Drosophila melanogaster: one gene and its partners. The protein of the gene in region 1 interacts with the protein of each later gene in a pairwise test. Each region holds a gene or a part of one and is shown on either strand. Other genes may lie near its edges.

Evidence for each region.
Region 2: the proteins of CG15784 (region 1) and CG14868 interact in a two-hybrid assay, tested with the Drosophila melanogaster proteins (one large-scale study listed by BioGRID).
Region 3: the proteins of CG15784 (region 1) and CG14074 interact in a two-hybrid assay, tested with the Drosophila melanogaster proteins (one large-scale study listed by BioGRID).
Region 4: the proteins of CG15784 (region 1) and CG31111 interact in a two-hybrid assay, tested with the Drosophila melanogaster proteins (one large-scale study listed by BioGRID).

The regions. Positions count from the first base shown.
Region 1 is NC_004354.4:5,427,159-5,434,230, forward strand, and holds CG15784 (uncharacterized protein), read left to right. Parts: upstream 1-2,412; 5' UTR 2,413-3,521; coding exon 3,522-5,186; 3' UTR 5,187-5,368; downstream 5,369-7,072. Other genes in the region: CG16756 (uncharacterized protein), read left to right, coding at 370-532, 648-797, 863-1,008.
Region 2 is NT_033777.3:15,366,464-15,372,455, forward strand, and holds CG14868 (uncharacterized protein), read right to left. Parts: upstream 3,483-5,992; 5' UTR 3,316-3,482; coding exon 3,250-3,315; intron 3,188-3,249; coding exon 2,603-3,187; intron 2,551-2,602; coding exon 2,443-2,550; intron 2,385-2,442; coding exon 2,297-2,384; intron 2,239-2,296; coding exon 2,100-2,238; intron 2,044-2,099; coding exon 1,473-2,043; 3' UTR 1,353-1,472; downstream 1-1,352. Other genes in the region: CG34404 (uncharacterized protein), read right to left, coding at 1-133, 684-971; CG6136 (uncharacterized protein), read right to left, coding at 4,559-5,350; Ccm3 (cerebral cavernous malformation 3), read left to right, coding at 5,689-5,754, 5,932-5,992.
Region 3 is NT_037436.4:18,862,750-18,867,931, forward strand, and holds CG14074 (uncharacterized protein), read left to right. Parts: upstream 1-3,475; 5' UTR 3,476-3,512; intron 3,513-3,570; 5' UTR 3,571-3,589; coding exon 3,590-4,600; 3' UTR 4,601-4,682; downstream 4,683-5,182. Other genes in the region: CG6865 (uncharacterized protein), read left to right, coding at 972-1,038, 1,507-1,845, 2,159-2,454, 2,517-2,672; Dysb (dysbindin), read left to right, coding at 5,131-5,182.
Region 4 is NT_033777.3:25,053,967-25,059,009, reverse strand, and holds CG31111 (uncharacterized protein), read left to right. Parts: upstream 1-2,832; 5' UTR 2,833-2,912; coding exon 2,913-2,975; intron 2,976-3,125; coding exon 3,126-3,872; 3' UTR 3,873-3,934; downstream 3,935-5,043. Other genes in the region: stac (staccato), read right to left, coding at 1,106-1,385, 1,828-1,910; CG31109 (uncharacterized protein), read left to right, coding at 4,511-4,654, 4,831-4,968, 5,036-5,043.

The DNA of each region.
Region 1 (7,072 bases):
CAGTTTATCTTATGATCTAGGCTTAACTATCGTTTAATTTATGATAACTAATCAATCTATGAACTCTCTTGTATATTAAAGAGACAAAAGATTTATGAACGCCGCCGCCTGTTGTGATTTCAATAACCGAAAACGGAAGAGCTTCGTTTCGGGCAGGGGAAGATTAGGCATCATCATGGAGTAAGCCATACCGATTCCATTTAGTACGCCCCCAGCTTATCGGCCACCGGCTCTCCCACTATCTGCCTTCCATCTGACCCCATTTGATTCCATCCCATTCCGGAGTCATTTGGCCAAGGTCACGCGTCGCGTTCGCTTGATTCTATGGTGCGTCCACAGGGGCCATCGCCATCACCAGGCAGTCGCAATATGAGAGCTGCGCCATTCGGATCGTGGTACTGGCTGGGATTGGGATTGGGCCTGCTTCTGGCCATCGAGTGCGGCGTGGTTTCCGCCAAGCGTTTCCTGCGCTGTGAACTGGCCCGCAAGTTGCTCGATCAGCATGGTTTCGAACGCAGTCTGCTCTCGAATTGTGAGTGGGAAACCCAGATGTACATATATTAAAAATGCTCTATACTGTATGCTCTATCTTAAGATTAGCAAACTATTATAAATGGGTTGTGACTTTTGATTTTGCCCCATTTAAGGGATTTGTTTGCTAGAGCACGAAAGCGATCTGGATACCGGCAGGATTACAACCAATGCGAATGGATCTCGGAACTATGGGCTGTTCCAAATCAATGGCAGGTTTTGTCAGGAGGGAAGGCGTGGCGGCATTTGCAATGCCAAGTGCGAAGGTTTGTGAGGGCTGCTCTGGCAAATCGTATTCTATTCAAATTTAACTAAATATAAATATTTTTAGATTTTTTGGACGAAAATTTAAGGGAGTCGGTTACTTGCGCCAAGCGCATCCAAACCTCGGATGGTTTTCGTCATTGGGCAGGATGGCAACGATATTGCCGAAACGCCCAAAATCTGCCTAATCTTAAGGTTATCTGTGGGATCTAGATGTAATTAATTTAATGATTTCAATTTGTAACAAATAAATATTATATATGTATATGCCGTGAAATAATTTCAAAAGACTAAATAGTTTCAATACCTAAGAGAGCTCTGCTTCCAAAATTAAAATTATATTATTACATTTTGATAAATTCGCGTTTACGATACAGTCGATTGTTCCGAATCCAAATCGATTTCGGAATGTGTTGAGTTTCGGGTTCAACAAAGCTTACGATCAGTTTAATACTTTAACACTCTGGCAACCCTACTCGCTCTCTATTTCTCTCCGAGTTTCGTTCATTATCAAGTGAACGAAAGCTTTAAGCTTTCTCGCCAAAAACTTTGTGGAGCAATGGAGTGGCACTATCTCGCTTACGTGGGGCTTTCATTTGGCGACATCGGCCGAACAAATCGGAGCGTTTTTTCGCAACGTGTTCACAAGATATCAAAAGTCATTGAGAATTAATAAAATATGAAAAGTCAAGAAAAGAAAAGTATATCCCAGTGCCCAGTGCCAGAGATTCCGTTCTCTTATAAAAGAATCGCATTTCATGGATATATATACATATATCCTAAACAATCCCTATGGGATGATATTGTGCCCTATTGCGATCGCCTTACATAAGTTGCCCATACCCCAACCAATATACATAAGTATATACTATGTGACTCATATTTCCCTGCCCCCCAAACGGTTCTCCAGTTTCTGAGAAACTGGAAATGCTATAAACAAGATCCAAAGATCTGATGCCTCAGTCGTTGAGCTGCGTTGTGATAAAGTTGATGCAAAAATGAAAACTCAAGTGTATACTCATTTTTTGTTTTCGTGTTCAAGTCCCAAGAGGTCCCATGAAATTTACAAACATACATAGTTGCCGAACTATGTTTACTCCCATTTTATGAATAAGTGCTCCCCTGATATGGGTTTCTCAAGAAATCTCACCAAAACACCCTGCTGCCATATTAAAATTCTGTGAATGATAATGAAATTGAAGAATAAATAAATATATTTCGTATTGTTTTCAAACAAAAAGTTCCAAATATTGCCTATAATGTGAAGTCCCATTTTGCGTATGAGAAGTGTGATGTTTTGAATACCCCTTTTTAAATCTGTGATTTCTTACGTTTTTCCGTTTACCAAATATTTATGAAATTTTTAAAACATAAATAAAAAATCATATGCGTAATCAGTATTTTCTGATTTGTGGTGAAATTCGTAAAGAAGACCTTCAAAAATATATTGATGTGTTATTGGTGCAAATATAAATGTATATAATATATATAATTTATATATAATTTTGAAATTCTACTTATCAAAAGAATCGATGTTGTGGTGATGTGCTGATCTCTATGCAATAAATTAAATAGTTTTAAGTGTATTTTTTCAATATAAATATATAAAATAAAAAAACAGCCTGTGTTGAATTTTTGTTGCATTGGAATTTAAGTTCCAATATGAAAAATGTCATTTACAGATGGATTATCTACTTAGTGCATGAGTGATAACTAATCATGGAGCATTATGAGCATATCCATCTGAGAATGTAACGAATGATCCCTGATCCCTGATCCCCGATGCCTAAATGTCCTGCAAAGTGAGTTCGGTTCCTTTTTGGGCTGTGAACTTTGCCAGGAAGACCACCAATTCCATTTTCCAGACTGTTCTTTATCCATTTCGATATTTGCAGTGTCTGGCGAAATTCAGCATAGACTTAATTTCGTTAATTTGAATCATTTGTTTAGTTTTTTCTTGTGCTGCGTTTTGTGGAGCTATTTCATCACATGACGAAACTCTTGCAAAAAATTCCCCACTGCCAAAGCTTTTTTTGAAGCGTTATTCCGGTTTTATTTAGCTTTGTTTTGTTTTGTTTTGATAATCGGAGAACGACGCAAAATCCACGTACTCGATAGCAAATTGTGAAAACAAACGCGCGCGTTGGTATTGGTGAGAGAGCAGCGAGCTACAGACGAGCCTCCCTAACGTGGACCTAGATCAACCGCACTCACGTTAGTCTCAATCAATGTGTTGCAAATAATATTATTTTTTTTTTGTTATTTAGCGCCAGTTTTTAGAATATGTTAGATGCACATTTAGATTGCAGATTTTGTTTATTTAGATACGTTTTATATTTCATGGATTGAATTTTAAGGCCAAGATTCACACACCTATAAATTTGCGAAGGGCTTTTTCTGTTGTCTATTGAAATGTTTAATTTGTATTGAGGTTCCACTGTTCCCCGTTTTTGTTCTGCGACGCATTTCAGTGCTCCACCAGTGGGGCGTTCTCACCGCTTCCTTGCCCCTTTGCCCCTTTGCCGCCTTGCCGCTCCGCTGGCGCCGCCAACCGCCGACGCCGCTGAGCGTATAAAAAGTGCCGGCCGGCAAGCGAATGGCATCAGTTTGCAAGCTTTCAGCTTTGTGGCATAGCGTATCCCAGCGAACTCTAAACCGTTAAACCAAGCAAAAAAGCAACTAGTATTACACCAGTGAAGGTAAATCGCATTGAAGATACTATCAACATGAGCGAGTTGTCCAGACTGCAGCAGCAGCAGCAGCAGGATCAGGATCGGGAGCGTGTTTCCCAAGAGCTGATCGACTGCGATATTGACTTTGTGGAGGATACGACCTCCAAGGTGGAGGAGGAGGCCAGGATGCCACCAGCCAGTTCCAAGCGATACACCAAAGCCCTGAAGAAGGTGACCAAGGTGCAGCGCATGCTGGAGCAGGCCATGATCCTGCTGGCCGAGGAGGAGGCCAGGTGTCGGCAGCAGGAGCAGGAACAGGGCACCAAAAGGACCAAGAAGCAGCTGAAGAAGAAGGCCAAGAAGGACAAGAAGAAGGCCAAGAAGCTGGCCAAGCAACAGGCCAAAAAACAGGCGGAAGAGCAGACGGCGGCTGGCGAGGAGCCCTCCAACACCTCCAGCTCCAGCTCTTCCAGCTCCAGCTCATCCAGTTCCAGCTCCTCCAGTTCGAGCTCCAGCTCCGAGGACGAAGAGGTATTCTATAACGGTTACGGCTGGATCAGCAATCCATGGCGCCGAGGACCACATGGCCATCACGGCTTCGGTCGTCGTCTTGGCCACGGTTTTGGCCACAAGCATGGTCGCAAGCATGGCCACAAACATGGTCACGGGCCGCATCATCATGGCCGACATGGACATCATGGACGGCCGCACCACCACCATCCGCATGGTCACCACTTTGGTCCCCATTTTGGACCACACTTTGGACCTCACGCTGGGCCCTCTCCCTTTGACTTCGATCGGAGATCCTTTCGCGGACCTTGGCATGATCAGTCCCAGTTTTTTCAATGGATGGGCCTGCCGTGGGCCCTGGACAATGCCGCGGCCAATCGGAGGAGCCACTCGCTGCCTAGACTATCTAGGCGCGACTGTCGTGGAGATCTCGGATTCGGATTCGGACCAGGATACGGATACGGATATGGCCAAACGCGTCCACGACATGGCCGTCGACTAGAGAGATCACTTTCCCGTTCAACATCCGGTTCGCTGGAGAGGAAGCACTGCCGCAAGCCGAGGTCCAGTTCCAGTTCCAGCTCCAGTTCTTCCTCGGAGGATGAGAAGAAGAGGCAGAAGTGCAAGGGCAAGGGAAAGGGCAAGGAGAAGAAAAGACAGCAGCGCTCCTCATCCAGCTCCTCATCGAGCTCCAGCTCCAGCTCCAGCTCCAGCTCCAGCTCCAGCTCCAGCTCCGATGGCGAAGTGCAGAAGATTCCCCATCGACGCGGGCACCACTTCGGACCTCCACATGGCCACCACCACTTTGGTCCGCGCCATGAAGGTTACCGTCCCCATCACGGCGGACACCATGGCCATCACTTTGGTCCACATCATGGTCCATTTGTCGAACATGGACATGGCCCCCAATTCGGACCATTCTTTGACGTTCCCCAAAGAGAATCCGGTGAAGGACCGCGTTTTGAGCACCAGCCCCGTCCGGAGTTTCCTATTGCCCATCATCGACCACCACCAGCTGAGTTCCCTCCAGGTCGTCGCAGTCGTTCTCTGTCCCGATCCCACTGCCGCAAGGAAAAGCAGGAGAGTTTCCCCAAAGTCGAGAGGGAGGAGCGCAAGAAGGGCAAAAAGAAGCACGGAAAACGCGCTCATGGACATGGGCATGGACATGGACATGGACATGGCCATGGACATGGACATGGACGTGATTAGGCAATCGCAGCCAGCGTTTAAGATGCATTAAGATTCCTTCAATACAACCTCCCACACATATAACCTTCAATATTACTATACATTTAACACCCAGAAGCTTCTATTCTATTATTCTATAAAAAATCATTAAAAAAACATCTAAAAAAATGAAATTAAATAAAAAAAAAACAAAACTCAAATCTATATACTTCGTATTTTTTATGGAAACTTAATTTATTTATTTTCTTCTCCACGGTACAAGTGCATTCGTTAAGCTCAACTATATAATACCCATTACTTTCTGAGTGCGATTGCAAATGACTCAATTGCATTATTAATGCAGCTGGCGGAAATGAATTAAAACTACACTTTAAACTAGATACATTACGAGTGAGTAATTACTCTATTTGTGTTGCTTAAGTTGGGGAAATGCGAATGGGGGGCTTATGGACATTACGCACCGCGATAAGATTGGTGTATTCCTGCAGAGGTTTTTCCCCAACCAAATGACAATGCAATGGCAGCGATAACAAGCTTGATAGGCTTATCAAATTATAGGTTTTTCACCTGGTTAAATATTATTGTTTTGACACTGCAAAACTCGCAAATTAACCCATTTTAGATTAATTGGTTGGGTTTATATTGTAACAACCTGTGGATGAATCGCGGACGCAGAATGTTGACTGCATTCTCTCCTTCAAGTGGGTACAGTTTGTGGTCGCAACTGTTCTCAGCTGCGGAGGGGAAAGCCTGACAATCAGAGATCCAGCATTCTTGTAATTAAATGTAATATGTCCAAATAAATACACCTTTTAACTTTATTGTGTTAACAACTGAATAGTTAGCCTAACTGCTTATATTGCATATAAGAAAAACATTAATTTTCCTTTAGCTAAAGCTAATGCTTAATCCGCTCTTAAGCGCTTTTAAGAGAAATACAAATACTGGGAACAGCAGTGGGAACACTAAGCGGCTGCGAACACTGTTCCCAGTACCCCAGGCAACTGTGCCCGATTTCTAATTACTGTGTTGTTGGTTGGTTGGTGGGTGGTGGGTGGTGGCCAAATGGTTACCGCTTTTGTCTGGCAGTCGATGGAATCAGTTTTTAGATGGTACGCACCCAACCATTGGAGCTGTCGGCCAAAGTTGAAGAAACGCCGGGTAGTTTGCCTGCGTGGCCAAAGTGCCGTTTAATAATGGAACAAACGCAGTGCCACGGTGAGTTTGTGCCTTTAGCGCTGAACTCCTGACCTCTGACCAGCCGGCGGACCAGGAAGTGAGCGCACCTTTCCATTGCCAAAACGACAACAACAAAAAAGGTGGCAACAGGTAAGCGGAAAAGCACACAAATCTAAGGGGGTGTGTGTGTGTGTGTGCGATTTCAATGGAAAACTTTATTCGATTTTTGTGACAATGTGACAGGCGCAGCAACTTTTCTTGGCCTTTTTCTGCTGTTCGTTGTTATTATAATTTTCTTTTTGTTTTTGGGGCAAGTTTACAATCGGAAAAGTTGATTTGTTTTGCCACAGTGAAAAACGATAGATATTCACAGATATAAATGTACATACATATATGCAGCATAAACTTTATAGCAGCATAGTTCATAGTTAAATGGTTATTAAATACGAAATCGACTTGACTGCATTTTCTTCCGTCTCCACTGCCATTGTCACTTGCAGGTCTTTCAATTTCCCCGAAAACAAAAACTTGCGAAAGGGCGAAGGTAAGAGCAAAAGTGTGGCTTGAATAGCGTAAGCGGGCGGAAGTCGATTTTTGAGCGGAAATAATTTTGCCACATGTTGGTAAAATCAAAAAAAAAAAGTAAAAAAATAAACACGAGGAGGGCAATTCTAAAACAAAGTCACGCGCAGAAAATCAGGGTGAAAGACGGGAAAAATTGCGGCGGG
Region 2 (5,992 bases), on another chromosome or scaffold:
TGACAACCTCCAAGCGCTTGTGGCATATTTCCCGCTCTGTGTTGCTCTCAGTGAGCTGTCTTTCCGCCTGCTGCAGACGCTGCGTTAGATCCCGCACCCGGTTTTCTAGCTGTTGTACCGACAGTTGCTCAACCTGGAGGTGAATCAAAAGAAAAGAGGCGGATTAGAGCTTTCTAAGTGGTTATTCTTGGGGTCATCACGTTTATGGGCCGTCTGGCCAGAGGATGAGCCATCAGCGTATACTCCCAACTGCGTCTCTTGTCGTTGGGCACCGATGGCGTATCGCTGCAGCACAGGCAGCTCAAGCTGCGCGGAAGCAGTTGCTCCGAAATCATGGTCCAGTGGAAAATTTTGACTGGCGATTACGTCGTCATCCGACCGCGGATGCATCCGCGCTCTCCGCCGCTGCAACTTGACCCTCAGCCTTCCACACGCATCTGCGCACTGGACGCCAACCGAATTTAAAGCCCGAAACACTTTGAAAACCAATGATTGAAAATTCTGCGTTTCTTATTTTAAACTACACAATAATGAGGTATTTTTAAATATTTTGTGATCATTTTAAAAATTAATTTAAAATGAACTTGATCATGTTTAGTACCAATGTATCATTGCAAATTAATATATTGATTTTTTTGATTTAAGATCTAGTTATTTCTCTCAGTGCGGGCATCATTACTCACTTTGTTGACAATGTCTAGCGTGGAGCAGCTGGATATGTTGTTGTCACTCTCGGTGGTGTCCCGCTGCGTGTGCTCCGGAGAGTCCAGGTCGGAGGATCCCACCAAGTGCCTGCCACCGGGTCCTCCACCGCGCGGCGAAATGCTACCGAAGACGTACTCGAAATCCTCGCCAGCCGCGCTGCCGGAGTGCTTGCCCTGGAATCCGCTGGAGTCACGCTGCTTGCCACTGCGACGCGGCACATCGGTAGCTATCTTGGCCACCCGGGCGACCTGCACATCATTCGACATGGTGGCAATGGGCGGCTGCAACGACTTTCCGACTAGAATTGGCCTGATTTGGGCCGCTTGATGATGACTTTTGATTGGTGCTCCATTCCCAGGATATGTGGCACTGGTGTTAACTCTACATGGCTCATTAAAAACTTTTCTTAAGGCATTTTTAATTCAAAAACTCGAAATTACTCCAACCAGTCGGGATATTTATTGCATTCTTATCAGAAAATGTATACCCAGAAATAAGAGTGTGTGAGAGTGTGTTTATGCTAACGGTATGCAACACTCCGCATATTATTTATCGATAACTTGGGCGCGTCTTTTAAAACTGTATGCTATAGTTATTGTACATATCCAGTTTCAACGCAATATCGATTGAATAAAGTGATTTATTTTATATAATCTGGTTTTATTGTACGCTGTTGCGGTAATATATATATGTATTATATCTTTTGTCAACACTGAGATATGGTTTCATCCATTTCTTTGGGAGTCCTCAATTGAACTAGTTTTTCTCTAAGGAATAGCCGCCAGATTCTCTGCTCGTATCGTCACCATAGCCTCGTAGTCCCGCATGTCCAGATCGTGAAGTGCTTTCTGGACCAGAGTGGCCAGGTGAGGCGGCAGGTCCTTCAGATCCTCCATACGTTCCCGTGCCACTGCACTGGATATTCGTGGCGTGCCGTTGCAGCGGCTGCTCAATCCACAGTTGCCCGAATCTGTTGTGGCGGATGAAGACTTTTGGAAGTCATCGGGCTGCACATCTGCACCGTACACAGACGAATCCACGGACTCCGTTGAAAGCGAGGACATTCCATCGTCGGAATGCAGAGCCTCAACGGACTTGTGCTTCTTTGAATCTTCATGATCCGCTGTAATGGCGACGCCTTCGTTATCTGGCTCAATGGACGGAGTGCTGCTGATGTCGGCGTCATCTACCATGGCGGCACAATAGCCATTGAGGAGCAGCTGCGAAGGCGCATAACCATATTCCACGTCCTCCTCCTGCTCCTCTGCGTTGTCATCGTTTCCGGAGAGGAGTTGTTGCCACCGCTGCTCCAGCTCCGTCATTTTGCCAGCCAGTATTCTGCAGGAAATATGGGTTTATGAAATATATATCAACTTTCAGCTGGATTTTCCTACTTGTTGGTCTTCTTTTGGTGCGTCAGGGCCAAGTTCTTGTCGTTGAGATTGTCCAGCAGGGCCAGACACAAGGATTTTAGATCGCTTAAGCTCTCGGTTTTCTGAGGCAGCTCAATGCCACTCTCGAGGATTGTTTTCACTAGGGTACAAACAAATTAGAAAGGCATGAAAGAGGTGGCCACCATATAATTACTCACCTTGCCGGGGGCTTAGAATGGTGTCCTCATTTGTGCTCCCACCGCCAAGTTTTACAATTCCCTTCTTTCGTTTTGCATCCAACATTGTCTGAATGATTTAAATATAAATAAATAAAATGGTAATAAGTCTTAACTAATACCAGTACCTTGTACTTATTGATGCTCTGTTTGGTGAGCTCCAGTTCGCTGTCTTGGATCTTCACACGTTCATGCAGGTACTTGTTCTCCAGCAAAACACCATCGATGTCCAGGAGCTGGAAAATCAATAACTATCAAGTAAGTACTATATAGCATCAGTTAACTCACCCTTGGATGCGTTTTCTTCGCCCTGAGGGCCACAAAGAGTTCATGATTTAGGCGGTGTGCCTTGCACTTGTAGGCATCCCGCTCGGTTATCAGCTCCTCCTTCTCATCGATCACCGCCTTCAGGTCGAAGGCCAGCTGGGCATTCCTTTTTTTGAGGCCCTCCAGGTGGCAGATAAAGTTTGCCCGCTCACGACGCCACTGCAGCTCCTCCTTGTTGCGAGCGGCATTCTCGCTGGCCATTGCCTGTACCCGCGACTTGTTGCTGGCCTCCGTCTCCCGGAGTAGTTCCATGTCGCCATGCAGCTCGTTGAGCCGCTGCCTCAGGGCTTCCACTTCGGTGCTGAGCTTTAGGTTCTGCTCGCGCGTCTCGTGGAGCAGGGCTGCCAGGCTGGAGTTCTCGCTGAGGGCTCCACATCCACCGACAGCCAGAAGTTCGCTATTACTCTTCAGCGCGGAGTAGCGCAGCTGCAGGGTCTCCGCCACCAGCTTGTACTGGTCTCGCTCCACGCGAAACTGTTCCAGCTCCTGGCGCAGGATTCGAAGTGCCTCCACCTTGCTTTGAAGTTTCCTGTGCACCGCCGAGGTCTGTAAGGGTGGGTCGGTCATACAACGCACTTGGTTCGCTCGAAGGGTGGGGGCGGACTCACCTCTACATTGTACGTGGCCATATGTTGACCGAATCCGTGATGACTAGCCACATCGTCCAAGTCCATGCCGAATGCTTGAGTGGGTTTTCCGTTTGCCGAGCTCGAGATGTTGACATTGACAGTGATTGTAAACTGAGGGCTGTCCGGAGGAGCCAGCTGTATCACACTTTCTCGGGCTCCAAGGACCCCATTCTGTTCCAAAACACACAGCTAGAGTGAATCAATTTTAGATGCGCCTGCGCATGAAATTCGATTCATATCGATAAGCCTAATTTGAAATTAATGTTCTTGTCCTCATATGTAAATATCATTAAACAGCTAATGTCATTATTTTGAAAAGAGTTTTCAATTTATTTCATTCAATTTGCCTATTTGTAGGAATACGGATTTTTCGACATACATATCAGATGCGACCAAACTCCTTCTGGCTCACTGCAGGTTTTTTTGGCGACTTGATATTGCACTTAACACCCTTCTGCGAATGGTTTTCACTTCGGCAATTGTGGCCGTTTTGAAATCCATCTTTTCGACAAGCTTTAGCATGCATTTCACTTGGGATATACTTGGATTTCAAGAAAGAGATCTCAGAAATTGATAAAAACCTACCTTTGAAACCAATCTCCTCACTTAGCTCGTAATATGAACTCAGCTCCCTACCACCTTTCTGCCGTTCACATACTTTTCCGGAACGGCTTCTAGATGTTTGTGTTTTCGTTTGGATCTCCACCACGTCTTGGGTTTGCTCTTCCTCTTCAGGCTCCATGTGAGACTTGCATTGCGTCCAACATGCCTCTCTGATGTTGGTCGCCTTGCAAGTCCTACGAAGATGACACCTTCTTTTACTTGAATTTCGCCTAAAAATATATTAGTTTATAACCGAGTTCATATTTCCTTCTTTAGCTTACTCTATTTGTTTATCTTGAGCTTTGTTTTCCAATAAAGATTTAATGCTGTGCTCATTGTACGATAGCCCCGAAATCAATCTTCTATTGTTGGCCAGCAGTTCTTTCAATCTCCTCATATGATTATTTAGCTTTACATTGTATGCTTCTATTCTATGCAATACCCTTTCTGCATTATTTAAGTGATCATTAAAAGAATTATGTTCTAGAGCAGCAGGATTCTCTACTATCTCCACAATCATGTTGTTTCAGCACAATCAAATCAAATCAAATTTGGATTATTTTTTAGAATTTAGAATTTTAGGGATAAGACTACTTAAGTAAAAGGTATATACTAGTTATATATGATGTAAACAAACAGTTAAGGAATAATTTAAGTCTTAGGGATAGGTTAAGTACTATGATTTTCAGCGGGAGCTCATCGCTTTCGCAATGGTAACCATCTTTCGCACCACGATGGAGTTGGTTCCGTAGTAGGGGTCCACGTCCTGTTTGCCCATGGTCACGTCACACTCCATTCGCGTGGTGGTGGGCGCCACGTAGTCCTCGCCAGCCGTGTCCAGGGCGGAAGCGTGAAACTCTAGGCAGCGACTGACCGTGAGGATCTCCTCCAGGTTGGACACCTTTATGCCGGCGCCGGGCATAACTATAAAGTCTCTTTGATGTTTGGCTATCAGCTGTGCCAGGCAATCTACGCCATCGGCAGCCGTGGGTCGGAATCCGCTGCTCAGCAGACGTCGGAAACCTAGTTCCCGCAACATGTCGACATTCTCGTCCATGGACTTCTGGTCGGTGAGGTCGAAGGCGCGGTGAAAGGTCACTGGCAGACCACCGGACGCCAGCAAAACGTGCCGACACTGATCCACGTTGATGCTGCGATCCGGATTCAGGGATCCGAAAACGAAGCCATCGGCACCGTTTTCCCGCAGCAAGTCCATGTCCGTGAGCAGGGCGCACATCTCCTCGTCGCTGTAGACAAAGTCGGTGCCCCGCCGTGGCCTCAGCATGCAGTAAATGGGCATTGTGAGCGTTTCCTTAATAGTTTTTAGGGTACCGATGCTGGGTGTCAAGCCACCTTCGCCCAATGCCGAACACAGTTCAATGCGTGAAGCTCCGCCTTCCTCGGCGGCAAAAGCCGATCGTATGGAGTCCACGCAGACCTCCAGCTTGATATCGTGGTTGGACATTTCTCTTATCATTGATAAAAGGACAGGTAAACAAAAATAAACCAATTTATTGCAGAGTTCCGATAGGTTTATGTAAATCAGCTGATTCTACCATCAGCTTCTACAGAAGCAATCGATATCTAACCAAGCACGACACGTTCATCGATAAAAACCAGTTAGTTTCCAGTATTGAAAAACAACACTGTGCCTGTGCTGTTGTGAACAATTTTTGTTAATTTTTTAATTTGATTTGCGAGCGTCGTGCGAGCGAAGCGACGGACATCGCACGGAACGGGAATCGCAACTGGGTTCCTGCAGCATGCGCCAGGATACCTAGGCACCAGTAGAGAAGACCAAGCACACTAGTAGCAATGACAATGGGCGAGCCCACGTCGTCTCTCGTTCTGCCCGTCATACTGCGGCCCATTTTCTCCCAGGTAGGTGAAACGATCCCAGGTGCTCGGCTCCGCTCTGCTGTGCTCTGCTCCGAACCCGTCAGCCCCAAACCGTACCTCTGAACCCTTCAGCCCCGTCAGATCGTGGCCTGTTGCGTAAACCTTTACATGGGGTACTTGGGTTTGTAATTGCTTAACTTTGTGTACGTTTACCTGCAGCTCGAGCGACGCGACGTTGGCGCTGCCCAATCTCTGCGCTCCGCCATTCTCAAGTCGGAGC
Region 3 (5,182 bases), on another chromosome or scaffold:
CCAGGTCTAAACTGATGGAAATATGACGTCTAAGGTTAGCTGCAATGTGCGAACTAATTGTGTCAAATGCAGGCAATGACATAACTGTAACGATTACGCAAATCCTAGAAACTTTTTTAACTTTCTTAAGATAGATTAGATAAATTAGATCTTGTAGGAACACAAAAATGCATTGTAAATCATAAGAACTGAAGAAATAAAAGATACTACATGCAAGCAAAAAGAAATTTAAAATCAAAAGAGTTGGTTTTGAATCATTTATAAAATTTTCTGTAGTTATGCAATAGCATTTCAGTTGATTAACAAGTCATAATAATATTTACACCCTTTTCTTTATTAACCATACAACAATTTCAATAACACCCTAAATACGTGCTAATCGCAATAATAATGTACTAAAATAAGGATAGAGGTGCAATAAACTCGTAGTGGTGGCATCGAAAATTCAGCATAAATATTGTCACACCTTTTGTCGCGCACTTTTCAATGTCATGAACTTCGCTGGGTCATAAAACGCAAAACACACAAAACTTTATTTCGGCCATTGTTTACTTTTGGGTTTGTTTTCGACTTTTCGGCAGCTCCTTAATTCACCCCCCCCCCCCTTGGAGCAATTGAAATGCCATAACGTGTGCACATGGCACCCATGCCCACAATACCAGCAAAAAAAAAAAAGGCGATGAGACAGGTAGTGCAGCGCAAAAAAAGCTCTCAGCTGAGGCAACAGGTGCCAAAGGCCCGGCTGCGACTTCCGTTTGTTATCAGGCCGAGAGAGCGAGCTTTCCGGCTAATCCGCATAGAACTCCGGACGACAGTGAAGTAAGTCAGTGGAACGGAGAGGCGCTGGACGCCCAGACACCTATATATAAATTAATTGCCGCACAGAATATTCGTGGCAGTTTCGTTTAAGCTTGAGCCGTGCTTAACGGGTTTTTTTTCGGGGCTAAGAACACTGGTTGTGCACACAGAAAATGTTGAAAATCGTATTCGTAGTCGCGGTTCTGTCGCTAGTGAAGTGTGCACAATCCCAAATTGCTTGTGAGTTGATTGAACAAATGTGACGAAAAGAGTAATAAGTCAAATATAATATGAAAAATAAAATAATTATAGTTCCTAAATTAGGATTCCTGGGAACTACCTTTTAACTTTTAACTTGTGTTTAATATTCCATTCATTTTTGCAGTCCTTAATATTTTAGGTTAGTTTATATCAATTAAGAAAGCATGATCTTTTAGCATTGTGGATTTATATGCTAAATTCACTGGATAAATCTAACATCTAATGTTCCAATTGCAACAGTTTATGCTTCCCTATTTGATAAGAACTCAACCTACAAATATTTCAAGATTCTATCAAAACTTGTATAATCATAAAACGTGCATAAGGAAAAGTTTACTAGATTATGAGAAATATAAATAAATGCGTTCTGCTTATATTAACTAATTATTTTCAACACTCCTTATCATGAACTCACGCAAATTGAAATTCCTCTGACTCCCATGACAGTTAGCAACCAGCCATGCTCGGTTCGAAATCCAAAAATCGTGGGAGGTAGTGAGGCGGAGCGCAACGAAATGCCCTACATGGTCAGTCTGATGCGTCGTGGTGGTCACTTTTGTGGCGGCACTATCATCTCGGAGCGATGGATCCTCACGGCGGGACATTGCATCTGCAATGGGCTGCAGCAGTTCATGAAACCAGCTCAAATCCAAGGAGTTGTGGGTTTGCATAGCATCAGGGAGTACCTCAACGGGATTGGCAACGGTCCGGATGCACTGAGGGTGGACTTCAAGAACATTGTGCCCCATCCGCAATACGACTGCAACGATGTGAAACACGATATAGGTATGTGTGTTTTTTAAGGGGTAATTGCAGGTTCAATTATTTTCCATATGTACAGAACTGAATCATAAATCAACAATATGACATTAACATGACATTATTTTTCAGTAAAATGAATAAAAAATTTTAATCTAGTAAAACACCATTAAAAATATGCGCTTAGGTTTTAAAAAAACAAACAGAAATACATAGGTAGGAAATAGTTTCAACAAAGGATATTAACATTAACCATAATGAATCAGAGACGAATCAAATAATACTTATTATTCTTAGTATTCCTTAAGCTATTGCAAATTGGTATTTTATTCTTTTACAGCCCTCCTGGAGCTGGTACAGCCAATCCGATTCTCTTCACACATCCAGCCCAGCTGCGTGGGATCCGAGGAGGGGCACCGAAGTCTGGAGCAGGAGTACGGAACAGTTTCCGGTTGGGGCTGGACGCACGAGAACCAAGCGGAAAACGATCGATCCGATGTACTGCGCAAGGCTACCGTTAAGATCTGGAACAACGAGGCGTGCGAGAGGTCCTACCGATCCTTGGGCAAGAGCAATACCATTGGAGAGACACAGTTGTGTGCCGGTTATGAAAACGGTCAAATCGACTCGTGTTGGGTGAGTATTCACTTGGCTGATACGGCACACATGTTATGCTCCGGGTTTACTTACCTTCACAGGCGGATTCTGGCGGTCCGCTGATGTCCAAGGAGCATCATCTGGTGGGCGTGGTGTCCACGGGGATCGGCTGTGCACGTCCAGGTTTGCCCGGAATCTACACGCGCGTCAGTAAATACGTGTCCTGGATGCAGAAAGTGATAGACGGCAGGAAATAGTTGGCCAGGAATCTGAAACATAAAGATTGTGATTCACCTGTGATATTAGTCGTACTCGATTATGTGATCTTCTTCAATAAACGTTACTTTAACCAACTAGAAATTCAATTTATTGCGGCCGGTCGTCATTTTTTAAACTTTAATCGATGATTGTGCCAATCGATATCGTTGGACTAATTTGTGGTATTTTGCAGAAAAGATTACTCTGACAATATTAATCGACAAGAATATCGCTAGTGTAGGAGGAACGGAGGAACGATGGAATTTTGAATAATTTATTCTTTCATTATTGAATTCAAAAAAATGCAATAACGTTTAAAAAAATATCTAACTACCTATGTACGACTTAAGTTCATAGGACTCAAGAAAGTATATGAAATATGCACTTGAAAACTTGGCTCCCCACGCTTACTGTCCCACCTGCTGCCCCGCCCGACCGACTGTCACCCGTGGCCCAACGAATGTCTTGACGTCTGCCCCGCCGTTTCCCTAAAGAAATGTCCTTAAAAGTGGTCACGCTCTACGAGTGGAGAAATTCCCGAAAATGTGGGAATAGTTAGTAAGATCTTTATTTTATTTTTTGCAATTCACCTCCAAATAACGAAAAGAAATAAATAAATAAAAAACGTCCCCATGTTTTGATTTCCACCGTTCCGTCATCGCCGCGAACTCATCGACGCTAATTTAACGCACATACAATAATCGCTTTATACTTAGTATTTTAAAAATACTTATAAGTAGCACTTACCGTCCGCGGTATTTTTTGTTTCGCAGCAATTGGTATTCAATTAAATGCCATAAACAAACACAAAAAATGGAAATGGACGCAGACCTAACAAAGTAAATATTTATATTACAATCCGATATATTTTTAATTAATTTGATGCTCTCACGTTAGTCAGGCGATTGCCGAGCTAATGCGCGAGATCGAAGGTGCAAATGCCAGTGTCAGCACCTCGAAACAAAGCGAACGCAAAGTGAATCCTCTGGGCAAACTAAACAAACGCTTCTTAGGCCGCACCATAAACACCGCGATTCGGCATAATGATAGAGAAAAGGAGCGCACACAGGCAAATTGCCGACAGAAGCTGCAGGATCTGGATGATGTGCACGAAAGGAGGAAGTCCAACTACTTTTACAGCCGCGATGCACCCAGAACTCAAAGTGTTGATAGAAGCAGAAGTTCCAGCAGAAGGCGCAGCAGGAGCCGCCACAAAAAGGCCAAGAAGCATCGCAGCCGAAGAAGAACTAGGAGCAGCAGAAGTTCAAGCCGCAGTCGAAGTCGCAGCAGTTCACATCGGCGAAAAAAGCGCAAAAAGAAGGTTAAAAAACACAAAAAATCACACAGAAGACGAAGAAGCAGCCAGAGCAGCAGCGGTTGCGATTGGGAATCCGCACCCAGCGAGTCGTTACGTATACCCCCGCCTTCAGATGTGTTCCTAAACCACTCCAAGCAAATGGCTCTTGCAGTGGCCATGGCCTATGGTCAATTACTAAACCCGAGCAGCCAAAAGAAAGCCAGCGAGTCTAAGGAACACTCCTCCTCTCCTATAAGCGATATATTCCGGGAACTTATGTCCGACGAAGAGGTGGACAAATCCGAGAAGCCCGAGGCCCTGTCCATTTCATCCAGCGACGAAGAGCCAAATGTTCTCACCATTAAAGTAAGCTCGAGCTCCGAGTCCAGCGGCAATAAATCAAGCTCGGACTCAGATTCAGAAGCAAAGAACAGCGTACGCAGCTGTATAACCCTAGAATCTGGTGATAATAGTGATATTGAGATAATTGAGTACCATGAAGAGCCCAAAAAAAAGGCATGTGAAACTGAACCTGCGTCTGAACCTGAATATCCGTCTCAATCGGATAGCACAAATCAACAAGTGGACGATAGCACAGCTGTCACTACAGTGGACCTGACCGAGGATTAATTAGGCTAAACTTTAGTTAGAGAATCGTTATGTAAGATCAGAATGAAATTTTAAAGGAAACAAACTGAAGTTGAACCAAACTAAGAATATTGTTTTTATATTATTATTACAGATATAAGCTCTGCCATAGATAGATTCATATTTGGTTGGTTTTTTTTTAAGTTATGTTTAATAGTAATATACTAAATATACCACCGAATGATACCCTGTTGTGTCTGTTTATAATATCAACTTTGGGTTCATTTTTTTATTTAAATTATAAAATAAAAATGCAAAATTTGAAATGTTAATAATACTTATTAGTTTTAGTAAGTAATAAAAACCACGTGCCAGAGCTCTTGCCATAGTTGATATGCCTCTCGTGTACGGCAACAAACTGTTGCTCTCTCTCTCTCTCTATGACCGATTTTCTCTCAGCACCTGCCCGAACAGCTGATTCTTTATTTACCACTCAATTTTCGATGGAAAACGCCAGCGCGAAGACAATTAGAAATCGCTAAGTTAAATAAATAGAGATCCGTTGTCGCAAGATGTTCGGGAACCTGAAAAAGAAGCTTAGCAGTGCGATCCAGGAGGGCCTGG
Region 4 (5,043 bases), on another chromosome or scaffold:
TCCGAAATATCTTGACGTTGACCATGAGATAAAAAGTGTATGCGCTCAATTCGATTCAGATTGCTTGGTGTATTTGTGCATACTCGTATGTACACGATGATGGCCAAGTGTTTGTGAGCAATAATAAAGCAATCTTAAGAGAAAATGGTCTATTTTCGGATACAAAAAGGAAAAGCTCAAGGTGGTAATGAAAAATGTATTTTCTAAAGTACATTAAGCTTTCTCCCCGCCTCCCTTCAATTGGCCGCTCTAGGGTTCTTCAATGTTTGCATGTTCTGCAGTGCTTGTTTATGCTGTCAGTATACATTATTCGGTTTGTTTATACAGTCCGACTATATAGGCAAGTTCTTTTGTTTATTGTGCAAGCGTTTCGTTTCTATGGACACGACTTCATTTTCGGTTTCTGTTCAATTAAACTACACCTGCCCAGACGGCAAACATGCGAACAGCAAAATGTTGGCACAAGATAAAACATTGAATTAACTCGTAGGCGATCGTTACGCCGCGCTGCAAACTGGAAAACTGACCTATGTCGCAACTTCCTCGGTAGTCGGGCCTAGGAATTACACATGACGTGAATGTGACCAGGCTCAAAAGCCATCCATATTCACCAATACCCACCATGGTGGATAGCTAGTTTGGGAGTCGACCTGGTAAAACCCAAACTGAATGACGGAGCTTTATCTTGATGTACTTTCACTCGAATCCTAAAAGCTACAGTGCATACTAACCCAACAATTCAAAACGAGTTCGTAAAGCGGCGATTATCAATACTCTATCATGAATATATATGTATATATATATTAGGGCGGATTAAACCATAAATCATCCTTAAACTGAGTTTTACGAATTCACAAGAGCTCGTATGAATCACATGTATAAATATGAAAAATCTCTTAACGTACGCATTTGGGAGTATGTAAGATACTAAATTAAATAAATAATTTAGTAATCTTATGATTAAACTATAGGTTACGTTTAGTATAAGCTGGAGCTCTATTAGTTGCACCAGTTGGAATGCAGTTTGATTGTCTGATTCGTTGTGACCTTTTAATGGCTTTGTCAACCTGATTCACAGCACTGATTTCTCAATTACAAAACTTACATTCATCACTGGCGCCGAGTCCAGAACTGAAGTGCTGATATCCTTGTCCGAACTGGACGCCAGTGTACTCTCGGTGGCAAAGGTATCGATGCTGGTGCACTCCGAATCCTGGCTGAGTTGCAAAGTGCCATCGGGACTCTCGTCCGAATCTTCTTCTCCGCCGCTGCCATTTTCCTCCAAGGGAGCCAGTGAACTTTTGAGGACGCCCTCATCGATTTGGGACTTCTGCCGCAGTAGGGATCCAAACTTTTCGAAAAATCCATCATCTCCGTCTTGCAGTCTGCGGAAAAAGTGCAATTAGTAAATAATTCGAAAAAAGTCATTAAATATTATCTGCACTGGCTAGTCATCACTTAATGGGGATTTCATTTCGATTAGGGATACTCGTACTATGAGCAAGCTTATGTAGATGTATTTGAAAGCCCAGTGAAAAATACCCTAAAACTGAGTCATGTTTTAGTTGCGAGTGGGTGGTAAAATCGATCTGTGGCTTCCCCCACTCCCTTACATCACTTGCCATTCCTCACGCACACACGTTAATTTCACTTGATAATCTTTAATTTATCTGATGACACAGTTCCAGTTCTCCAAAATGTTCATATTTGTCTAGAGAAATAGAAACACACATTTCGGCTCGTCTGGCGAACAAATGTTTGTCTATCGGTGAGTTTTCAAGTTTTCTACAGGTATGCGTGAGTCTGTATTTTATTCATCCAACTTACTGGTGTTCATGCTCCGTGGGTGGATTCATTTTGAGCTCCTGCAACTTGAAGAAGAAGCCCTTCCACATCTGCTCCTCGTCCATTGTGATGTTGCGTTTTTAGCTTCAGAGGCACTGAATCGAAATCGGAATCCAACAAGTGTCACCGGAGTGTAGAAACATACTAACGGCTTATTTGCACCGAAACCGAAACGAACAAACGATGTGATTCATTGCCAAAGCTGCTCTCCGACGTAGATTTTTCTCAGTGGTATTCACACGCTCTTCCCTACACTATCGCAAACACATTATAATGAGCTATGGATGTTTGTAGTATCTAACATTGGGCGAAAGTGGGGAAATGGGAAGGAACGGGATGATACATACAGACAGACACCTGTTGCCATGGTGATCGGACGTTTTTTCTAGCTCTCATGCTAATGATTTTAAAAACTTATAGTTTGTAACTCTTGAAATTGTTGAATGAAAATCCATTAAGAAGTTACCAATCATCAATGGTTCTAATGGTGGTAAGCCTCACGCACACCTGTTTATGTACATATACTCTTGAAGGGCTAGGTGTTGGTATTCTTGTAACTACCTTTGCAGACTGGTGCTTCCATGGTCAAACTACGCACTTTAAGGCACATTTTCAGATGCCAAGCTAAATTATGTGCGCAACTATTTAACTACTTTAAAAACATACCTTATTTTTTCAAATATCCTTAATTCCGAGCGCCGGAAGTAACTTTTTAACATGATTAAGTCCTTTGCAAGGTCAGAATGCCAGATTGAATTAGGCTAAGAGGATTTGCAAATCCATTAGGAATTTCCTTAATTTCAATTCGAATTAACGTCTCCGTTTGTTTTTTTCGCACCCTTTAAAACTTTATTTATATCTTTTAAAATAAACAAAGATTAGATTAGATCAGTTTTGTTTATTAATTTGGTATGTAAGATATACCAACATAAATGAATCTACCGAATACCGTATTTCGATAACTTACGAATGGCAGCCCTGCAGTCCGATAATCATAACAAACCCACGGCAATAACAACAAACAAATCGTATCTCTTGTTTTTGCTGAAATTATAAATTAAAAAGCAATGAATTTAAAGTATAAGCGGCGCTACGAGAGCTTAAAACGCTCCGTCAAGAGTTATCTACTGGTAAGATCTTAGAAACTAGGGCGAAGTTATGCAAACTTAAGAGTATTTACAAGAAACCTTAAGATTCCTACTCACATATATGTTTACATTATAGCATAAAACATTTACGGGAAGTTATATGATCTATTAACTTTATAATACCAATTTCAGGAGAACGCCGCCCTCACGGATGAGATCTGTCGTCTGCAGGCCGAACTATCTGTGACCCGATCCCAAAGACTTTACTTGATAGAGCGCCTCATGTTTCACGAGGGCTTGGAGAAATCCAACAGTGGACGACCCAGTGTCTCGAATGGAAAAAACGACGCCGCTGAAACCACAAAGAAATACAGTCCTGTAGTTTCGCATAAGAACCCCGTCGAAGATAAGCCAAAAAATGTTACAATTGTACGGAAAAAGAAGCCCATGTTTCCGATGAACCTAAATAATGTATTACTCCACTCACTGGGCGAGATTATATCAGTGAATCCCAATTTTCACACTGAGAGCTGGATATATCCCGTGGGATATGTGGCCACACGAATCTACGCCCATCCCAAGGATCCGCGCAAGAAGTGTGTGTTCACATGTAAGATTTTAAATAACGCCGGGATTCCTCAGTTCCAAATAATACCCGACAATGATCTGGATGGAGTTTTCTTCGGAGAAAGCGCCAATATGTGTCACATGGAGCTTCTAAACTCCATTCAGCGGTCTCCCTGCGTTAAAATTAAAATACCGTTCGACGTACAGGGCGAGGTTTTCTTTGGCTTGTCAAACCAAAAAACACAATCGCTGCTTATGATGGATCCTGCCTTTCATCAGTGCACGAATTTCAAGGGATTCGCGGTGCAGAATGTGCAGTCCTTAAACAGCGCGTCTTTATCCTTTGAGACGCTCCAGGGATTTCTATCTTGATAAGATCTGTTTTTACTATTTGATTCTCGATATAAGAATAATAAGTTTATAATATAAAGACGAATTTTATTTCTCTGATACAATCGTTGCGAGAAGTACTTAGTTATGTACCTAAGTATGTACCTGGTACATGATACGAAAACACTAAAAACCCGAAACAGCTGATCTGTTTCAATTCCATCTCGTCCGTTTCAAAATATACTTTCCAGCTGTATAATACGTTATAATACAGTTTAAAATATTAAATTATTACGAGTGTTTGGGACAGATTGGTTAACAATTTCCAGTTAAATAGATAACATATTATTCTAAAAACTCTTTGTCCCACTTCCGCATGATTCAATGTGCTAAAATCATATGTTTTATGTGGGCATTCGCGGTTATTTCAAATGAAACTGTGCATTTGTACAATTGTTGTCAACTATCGACTTTTCTATAGAAATGCCGAAAAAAACAAGCTGGCAACCTGCCGAGGCAATCGGAAATACAACCCTCGAATCGAAACATATGTACACAACACCTATCTGAAAAGTATTAAACAATATTTTGGGAAAGTTGTTTTGGCTAGCGTTAAATTAAACGACATCCCAACCAGCAGCTGAGGATATAGCCAACCAACAGAATCGGAATCAATCAAGATGGGGAGCATAGAAAAGGCGTGCATATCGGGATTTCTATGCCGACTGTGTTCAGAGATGCACCGCACAGTAATACATATTTATAGTGATCATGGCCAGCGTTTGTGTCTTGTTGAGAAAATCAACGGTTACCTACCAATTACAGTGAGTATTGCCAACTAATGGACGCTGCTGAAAAGGCGGAGCTACACACAAATCACGTTCCCATCGTCAAGGATGTTTGTGTGTACCCAATGTCAGCCATTCCAATAGTTTTTCCCAACTATCAGCATCTTGTTAAATAATTTATTGATTTATCACCTACTGCTCAATTGCACCAGATATCTCCGACTGATCCATTGCCAAAAACCATATGCAAATCATGTCTGCATCGCGTGGAGCAGCATTACTCGCTCCTGATGCGTCTGACGCGGATGCGGGAGGAGCGCAAGTTTAAGTTAATCAAATACAAAGCACAAGTAAGTAGTTGTAGTATTGTTCCATACAAGATAATTGTACCCAATACCTATATCATTGATTATCCAGAGAAATCC